Linked DNA regions of Canis lupus familiaris. The protein of the gene in region 2 purifies or fractionates together with the protein of the main gene of each other region. This does not show direct contact. Links are inferred from orthologs where the notes say so. Each region holds a gene or a part of one and is shown on either strand. Other genes may lie near its edges. The genes, in order: RASA1 and PDGFRB.

Evidence for each region.
Region 1: the proteins of PDGFRB (region 2) and RASA1 purify together in Homo sapiens (co-immunoprecipitation; 5 studies listed by BioGRID and IntAct, with this or other methods). This does not show direct contact. The link is inferred for Canis lupus familiaris from reciprocal best matches to the Homo sapiens genes PDGFRB and RASA1.

What each region holds. Positions count from the first base shown.
Region 1 is NC_049224.1:21,307,489-21,311,754, forward strand, and holds the start of RASA1 (ras GTPase-activating protein 1), read right to left. Parts: upstream 3,062-4,266; coding exon 2,592-3,061; intron 1-2,591. UniProt on the Homo sapiens protein: Inhibitory regulator of the Ras-cyclic AMP pathway. Stimulates the GTPase of normal but not oncogenic Ras p21; this stimulation may be further increased in the presence of NCK1.
Region 2 is NC_049225.1:59,839,743-59,844,246, forward strand, and holds the start of PDGFRB (platelet-derived growth factor receptor beta precursor), read left to right. Parts: upstream 1-1,527; 5' UTR 1,528-1,571; intron 1,572-4,504. UniProt on the Homo sapiens protein: Tyrosine-protein kinase that acts as a cell-surface receptor for homodimeric PDGFB and PDGFD and for heterodimers formed by PDGFA and PDGFB, and plays an essential role in the regulation of embryonic development, cell proliferation, survival, differentiation, chemotaxis and migration.

The DNA.
Region 1 (4,266 bases), on a different chromosome or scaffold from region 2:
TTCTTCAGTACCTTACAAAAGATTTGGCATTAGTTAACCAAATCATTAAAGCCCTTTAAAAATAGGAATTCAGGGATCCCTGGGTGGCGCAGCGGTTTGGCGCCTGCCTTTGGCCCAGGGCGCGATCCTGGAGATGGGATCGAATCCCACGTCGGGCTCCCGGTGCATGGAGCCTGCTTCTCCCTCTGCCTCCCTCTGCCTGTGTCTCTGCCTCTCTCTCTCTCTCTCTCTCTCTCTGTGACTATCATAAATAAATAAAAATAAAAAAAAATTAAAAAAAGGAATTCATAGAAAAGATCTGAACTTCATCTCTAAACCTACTTAACCTGATGGAAACCTTTATGAAGTCATAATTCTTAATATAGCTAACCATGGTAGCTAGACCTCTGGAGTACGAACCATTGCCTAAAGTAACTATCAGTGAGGGAGTTCCCTGTACCAATAGAATCAGTAGGCAATTTAATGGCAATAAAATATTACTGTTACTTTGGCATACTATTTACTGAACACTTACTATGTGCCAAGCACTGTGCTGACTGAATACTTCAGGGTTCTCATTAAATCTTAAAAACGATGCTATGACGGAGGTACCATTATTATCCCCATTCTACAGATGGGGAAACTGACCTTTCCAAGATCACACAGTTATAAGTGGTAGAGTCAGGATTCCAACCCAAATCTTGTCTAACTTCAGAATTTGCACCCTTAAACACTACACTGTATTGCCTCCAGTGACTCTGGTTTGATATCTAAGATAAAGAAAAGAGGGTAATTTGTACTCCTCAGTGACAAATTTAAAAAACATACTTGAAATGGAGGATACTTTTCAGAACATTTACGATTCTCATATATACAGTCATGCAAGTATTATTTTTATTCCCAAATATATATTAATGATGATGGAAACCTCACACAATAGACTTCTAAAAATTTTTCCAAATACTCCTTCATGTTTATCCTGAAAAATCTAATGGGAACACTATATTTTCTGCCCAGTTTTGCTGTGAACCTAAAACCATTCCACAAAATCACTTTTTTAAAAAAATTTATAACTACAATATACAAATATGCCTAATATAACTCAGTTACAAACACTGGCAAAAGACTGCCTTCTTTCAGTATGAAAAGTTGCACTTTATTATAACCCTAGTGCTGAGCATGGAGTGATGTAGTGAGCGCTTAAATATTTACTGATTCTTTCAAAAAGGCTTGAAGGTGTGTAAACAGTGCTGTAAAATTCAAATTTTTCACACTCCCAGAACACCTTCAGAGGTCTATAAAACAAACACATAACATGGTAAGTTGGAATAAAGTTAGACAAAAAAATTAAACTCTTACTGAGCAGTATACCACGGCTGACACAAATCAGGCTACTTTTACCTTTCCCCCTTAAATATCAAAAGATGTAGCCCTAGGTTAAGAATGGATTATCACAGAATCTTTTTCTAATCATTTTCTAAGTCCTTTCTAAATCCTCCAAAGCTTATCCAAAACAAACAAATACTTTCAATTGTCCAGAGTGAATGTCATCATATGAACCAAATATTTTTTCCTCTGATACACCAAGGCTGTCGAAATTCTAAAGGTCAGATAATAACTGATGTGAAGGATCCGTAAGAACGGTTTTGCCATCTATTACCCCTTCCCAGTAACACTCTCCTCTCATCAAGGTCCACCTTTACAAACACACACCTATGTTCACTTATGGAGGGAACAAGGGGAAGGTACTCACCGTGTGAAAAAAGCCATTTGCCCTAAATGCCCTGCAATATACCGTCGCAACTGATTGCCAAATGGAACACTGCACTGGCCACCAACAAAGTATTGAAGTATTGACAATTTTACTTGAGAACTGTGCTTACAAAGCCTCAACTATAAAAAGATCAGGCTGTTATCAATAAATGGGAATTTCACGGCCTACGTCACAGACCCCGTAAGAGGAGAGAGACCCTTCACCACACCTGTAATTCGCAGAACTCCTTTCCTTTCTCGCCGACCCACATCTTCAGGAGAGACCCGAAGACTTTTCTGCATCGCTCTGCCTCCGAAAGGCTGGGGATGCACAGCACCACAAAGGCAAAGCCTTCTGACCGGTGCATGTTTAAAATGGTCATCAATACCATACTCCTTGGAATACTTGCATACCCAAAGCCTTATGACTAAGGATAACCTGACTTCAACAGGGAATGCACGCACAGGCTGAGAGAGACTCTACGGCCCGGGCAGCTGCAAGCTCAGCTGAGCCCCGGGGACGCAACCTCGGCTTGGAAAAGGCAGCACCGTATCCGGTTCCCGATGGATACACATGCCCCCCCTCCCCCCCCTCCCCCCCCACTCTCCATGCTTTCCTAGCTCAAAAACTTCACTTCTTCCCAGGGTCTAACCAGAAAGATGCAAAAGACGCCGAAGGCAGCGTGCACGCCCTCAGGGAAGAGGAGCGATCCAATCAAGTCCCGACGCACGCCAACCCCGAAGGCTCCAAACTTTTTCACCAACGGATCGCAACTGCAAGAAAAGCTGCAGGTCCCAGGGGTTCGCACTTGTGCCCAGGAGCCGGCGTCCCCGGGCCCGGGACGGCTGCGTGCACTTACTGGTTAGTCGGAGGCGCGGTCAGGGGGATGGCCACCTCTTCCTCCTCGTATTCGGGTCCATCCAGGGAGTCCCCTTCGTCCACGGTTCCCAGGCCGGCGGCGCCCAGGGCGGGCAGCTGAGGCGGCGGCGGCAGCGGGGGGAAGGCGCCGCCCGCCCCGAAGGTGTCCGCAGCCAGCGAAGCGGTGCCCTTGGCGAGGGCCGGCTCTCCCCCGGCCCCGGCGGCCCCGGCCCCGGCCCCTCCCCCTGACAGTCCGGCTCCCCCCACGGCTCCCGCCCCCGGCCCGGCGCCCAGCGCGGCCCCGCCGGCCTCCGGCAGCCCGGAGCAGGCGACGGCTGGCACGGGCAGCGCGCCGGGCATCCTCACCCTGCACGCCGCCGGGCAGGCGCTCGAGCCCGCGGCCGCGCCGCCCCCCGCCGCCCCCGCCGCCCCCGGGCCGCCCTCCTCGCTGCCGCCCTCGGCCGCCATCATGTTGAAGCCCGCTCCGCTCTCCGCTCTACGCTCGCCCGGGAGCCCCGGGGGCCAGCAGGCCCGGGCTCCCAGCCGCCCCACCCGGGCGCGTCCCCCTGGCGGCTCCCCGGGCGGAGGAAACGACAACAAAAGGACCGAGCCCGCCGCCGCGCCCCCTCCTCGGGCCACAGCCCAGGCTCCGGAGCGGCCCGGGTTACGGGAAGCCGAGTGGGCAAAAAACCTACCGCCGGCACCAACGCCAACCCGCACCTTCAGCCTGCACACCCACACTCACACACATGCACACTAGTGAGAAACTTCCTGGCCGCGCCAGAGAGGAAGGGAAGCACAGAGGAAGCGGCTGGCGCGGCTGCCGCCCGCTCGGCCGCCGCCGCCGCTTCACCACCCCAGTTCCGGCCACCCCCACCGCAGCCACCGCCGGTGCCGCTGCTGGGGCCCGGGCCGCGGCGGCCGCTGCATCCTCCGCGGGGCTGGAGGCGGGAGGGGTGGGGAGAGGAGAGGAGAGGAGAGGAGAGGAGAGGAGAGGAAGGGGCGGGGGGCGGGGAAGCGGGCCGAGCGGCTGCCGACCTGGAGCGCTCGCGGAAACCGACTAGAGAGAGAGGGAGAGAGAGAGAGAGAGAGAGAAAGGAAGGCGGGGCGCCGGAGGAGGAGCCGGCCGCGGGAGGAAGGGCGGGGAGCAGGGCCGGGGCGGCTTGTGCGCAGGCGCGGCCCTGGCGCGGGGGCGGCCGCGCTGCTGGGCCCGAGGGAAGGAAGCGGCGGGGGCGCGCGGTGCGGGGGACCGGCCGCGGGGGGGCGCCCGCCCCGTCCCCGCCCCGCCCCGCCCCGGGTCAGCGTGCGCCGCGGAGGGGCGGGCCGAGGGCTGGGGGGCCCGGCTCCGCGAACGCGGCGGGGACGCTGCAGGGGAGGGGGCAGCGCCGAGGAAGACGGCAAGGAAGATGCCGCGGAGCCGGGGCCCTGCTTCCTGCTGGTGGAAAATAACGCCTTTAGGAAGCGGCGCTGCCGGGGCCCGGGGCCGAGGGGGAGTGGCAGGGCTATCGATTTGTTTGATTTTCGTCGCATACTAGAAATCACTATATGACTATTCCGTGTTTTATTTTATTTTATTTTTAAGGTTTTATTTGTTCACTCATGAGAGACAGAGACACACAGGCAGAGGGAGCAGCAGGCTCCACGCAGGGAGCCCGATGCAGGACTCGATCCCAGGA
Region 2 (4,504 bases):
TGAGGAAATAAGGGCAGAAGAAGAGGTGGGGACACGAGGTCCAGCCAGGTTTTGGAGAAGCCTTGACAGACCCTAGCAGGGAAGGGAGGGCAAGAGGCTGGAAAGGGGACATTAGCAGGTACTCGAAAATATGTGTTGGGTGACTGAATGAGATGCAGAGAAAAGGATAACCCTGGAAGAAGGCGGGGCAGGAGGCCCAGTCTGCTCTGCAATGGGAGTCTTGCCCCGGGGTCAGGTCACCTGTGTCTGTTCTGTCATGGAACTCGGGAGACCTGATTCCACTCCAGTTCTGCCATTGCTTGTGGGAGCTTGGGAAGCTCATTCCTCTTCTCTGGGCTTCTGTTTCATTGTCTATAAAATGGGGAAATAACCCTTTCCTGGTACTTGAGGGACAGCGAGATGACAGGAAGGAATGTGTTTGGAAATCCCAAGTACACCGGGTGACATCGCCAGGTCTCTTTCCCTCTCTGTGCCAATTCACACCTGAGCCTTGGGTTTCTTCTTGTGACAGCGACTGATAATCCCAAAGCCTCAGTTAGTTGCCCCTCTAAATGCACTCTCAGCCCCCCTGCTATTCCTCAGGGTACCTCCCTGTGCCTCCTGTGTCTCCACTAGCCAGGGCAGCCCTGGAGTCAGGGACTGTGTGTTGCTCACTACCACCTCCAGCACCCCGCATGGTGTCTAGCACATGCTTGTTCAATAAACGGATGTTGCCTGAATCAATCATATAGGTGCTCAGAGCTGCCCTTATGGATGTGGAAACTGAGGCACAGACAAGGGAGTCGGCCCCAGGTGCTGCGCGGCAGGGCATCAGAGAGGTGGGGCCGGACCACTTTTTAATAAAAGTGACTCAGCGGTTGGCGTGGGCTGCGGAATTTCTAAACATCCCCTCACATCCTGAGAGAGCAGGCGACGGAGAGAGCAAGCAGAGGGAAAAAAGGAAGAAAAACAAGAAACTTGGGGGAAAAGAAAGAGGGGGAAGAAACTGAAATTGAAAACAGACACACGCGTCCACCTTCCCCGCCCCCTCGCCCCCCTGCTCCCGGCTGAGCCAATCAGAGGCGGCCCTGCAGCCTTTCCCCCAAAGCAGGGGGAGGGCAGGGAAGCCCACAGTGGTGTGAGCTCCCGGGCTGCCAGCGCCCGCAGTCCCTGCCCATCCCGTCTGGGATCCAGGATCCCTCTGCGAACAAGTTGGAGGCAGAGGGCAGGAGGACGGCACGGAGAGGACCCGGCCCCCCTGACCAGCAGCTGGGGGCAGCAGCCTGTGCCCTGCAGCGCAGAGGGCCAGACCCAGGGCGGCCCCTCCTGGCAGCCCTGCTCCTCCAGAAGGATGCTTTGGCAGTGAGGCCACTCCTCACTCACCCCTGCAGCCCCCCACTCTCTCCATCCTCCTGAGGCTCCCAGGGCCCGGAGATTAGGCTGTCTTCCCTGCTCTGCGACCCAGCCGTGGCCCCGTTGGGGAGTCCAGCAAAGTCTTTCTGTTAATGAGAGGTCAGCGAGGAGGACTTCCTGGAGGGGGTGACAGCCCAGAGCTCAGGACTGTGCCCACCCCCGAAGGCATCAGCAGCAAGGTAAGTGCTGGGAGAAGGGGGATCCCCAGCCCCTTGTCCTGTCCCCTTGCTCCAGTCTGTGCCTTCTTGGGTAGGTCAAAAAATGGAAAATATTTTTAACAAAACCAGATGGGAAGAAGCTGGGAGGCTGTGGGCGACGTCAGGGCTGGAGGAGCCAGTTTTCTCTTCTCCTGCTCAGGCTGCTTCTGGGGTGGGTGGCCCAGCCGGTCTCCATAGCCCTGCTGTCCCCTGCTTTTGCCAAATGAACCCCAGAGGTTTCTGGGTGCAGACTGAGGGCCTCCAAAACATAGAACCGCCTGAGAGGGCCGGGGAAAGCTGGCAGGAGCTCGAGAGGGGAATTGGGAGGCAGCAAGGAGGGTGCACGGAATGGAGATCTAGCAGGGGATAGGGGACTTCAGAGCCATGGCCCCTGTCTCTGGGCCCAAGCCTTGTCCTTAAGAATCTGTCTGGCTCTAGGCCAGTCGGCCGCCAGGCAACCTCTGGGGATTTAAATGGATTTGCAAATTTTCCAGATTCCTAAGATGTCCTTCCAAACCCCCAGTGGCTGGGAAAGTGCGAAGGCAAGGGGGCTGTGGCAGGCCTAGCCTAGCAGTCACAGTCTCACAGTCGGGGCTGTGGGGCTGGGGGCCTGGGATCCGCCGTCAGATGTAGGGGCCCCTCTGGAAAGAAGGGGGAGTCGGTTGCTGGGCCCTTCCCTCTGGACCCAGGCAGCTGCTCAAGCCGCCTCGCTGTCTCCCTCCTTCCGACGCTGCTTTCACTCCATCCTAAAACATGAATCTGATCACGATTCCTTCTTTGAGTCTCCCCTATAGAAAGCCCCAACTCCTAATAGTAGCTGCCACTGATTGACACTTACTGCATGCCAGGACTGTGCGGAGAGCTTTATGAGCATGATCTCACGTAACTCACCAGCGGCTCCAGAGGCAGGGATGGATTTTATGTTGGTTTTACGCGTGAGGTTCACAGCAGCTACAAAACTGTATCACGGTGCTAGTAACTGGCAGAGCTTGGGGAGATAATAAGCTCCCTGCCGCATTTCTCCAAACTTGGTCCTTGTGTTCCCGCCAGTCAGATCCCAGGGTCCCCAGGAGGAGTATGCACAATCTTGCCTGTGAGAATGCCCCTCCTCATTTTCCGTGAAGGAAAATGGAGGGAATGCCCTACCTCCCCCTCCTCCAGGCAGCCTTCCGGGGTCCTTCCAGTCTTCCAAGTGCTTGCCATGCCCTTTGCCTTGTTGCTTGGCCTTCTCTTCCTGTTTGTGCTCTGTGTGCACATCAGAGATCATTTGGGCCCCAAGTGACCCCATCTTGTTTTCCGTCCCCAACATATGCAGACAGGCAGGCAGTGAAACAGAAAATGTGCTGGCAAAAGGTAGGAGGGGCTCACTGAAGACTTGCTGTTCCCAAATGTGAGACCAGAACCAAGCCCCACCCTTCCCTCAGGTGCCCTTCCAGAACAGCACGCTGTTCCTCCAGACTGCATTTTTCTATGTCAAACAGGGAGGAGTGTCCCTGCCTGTCTGCCATCCCAGAATGCAGGAGGCCTCTAGGGAGATATCTGAGGTCATGCGGTCCTCCCCTGCCTCCTTGCAGCAGGCCCCGGATCCGTAGCCCCGGATCCGTAGCTCCGGATCCATAGTGCTGCTGTGTGGGTCACCGCCATGGAGTGCTTTCACTGTGCCAGGCACAGAGCCGAGACCCCACACACCTTGTCACCCCCACAGCAGCTCTTGGGAATCTGTATTGTCGTTACCCCTGTGTTGCAGACCAGGAAGCCAAGGCTCAGAGAGGCTATGTGATTTTCCCAGTGTCACATAGTTAGTAGAGTTGGTACTTAGGCCAAAGTCTACTTGAAACTGAAGACTTACCCCCTGGCTACCCAGGGAGCCCCAGGGCAGAAGGCAGGGAGTCTCCATTCTCCCACTGAGGCCGTTCCTGGCTCCAGCACCTTCGGCGGCAGGCTCCGCCTGCACTGGGTCTACCCGAAGTCTGGCCAGGTCCTAAGTGAGGAAGGAGGACCATCTGGCCAGCACCTTCCCTTTAGTGGTGATGGGACAGCCCTCCCTCCTCTGTGGGAAGAGGAGCTGAGATTTGTAATTGCCCCCAGATGTGGGACAGCGGAAAGCCCCGCAGATTCAGAGTCAGGAGACCTGGCGTTTGCCCTGGCTCAACTCAAGTCCGCTATGTTGCCAACTCGGGTCCCCGGATCCTTTTTTTCTGGGCTGTATCCACATCTGGAAGGTGTTGGGCACTGGGGTAAAGAACATCAGGTCTGGGCATCAGAGGACTGTGTATTATTCCCTAGTTGGCTCCTGCCTGGCTGTGTGACCCTGGGCCAGTGCTCTGTCTCTCTTGGCATCGGCCCCCTCCTCTGTAGGCAGCAGGGAGGCATGTAGTCTCCGTGAGGATAATATTGATAAAGGTGCGTAGTAGATCTTGCACTTCTCAGGGCTGGACCCAAAGGCCATTGGCTGAGAGAGGCCCACTGGCCTCCCTCCGTCCTGAACAGGACTCGGCAGTGAAGTTAGTCTATGCCTCACCAAGAGCTATGCCCCTGGAAGGGACCAGTCTAAAGGCCTACCTCCACCTTCCAGGCATGGTCTGGCTCTGAGACCTTCTGGACTGGAGGAGGGCACTTGGGGTTTTTGCTCAGGATGGGCTGCTGAGTGTGGTGGGGAGGGAGGAAGGAATGAGAGGGTCCCTAGACTGCCCTGAAGTGCCTGCCATGCCCATCTTACTTCCCTGCACATGTTTCAGAACCCTGTGGGCAGTGGGCCCTCGGCATGGGGGGACATCTTCCTCCACTGTCTTCCACAGGCCTCCCTGGGGGCCTCCCAGCGGCAGATTTCACAGCCGCTCAGCCTGGGAGCAGTGTGGGCAGGGTGAGATGACAGGGACCCGCAATCCCTGAGCACTTTCGTTGTACTTCCCATC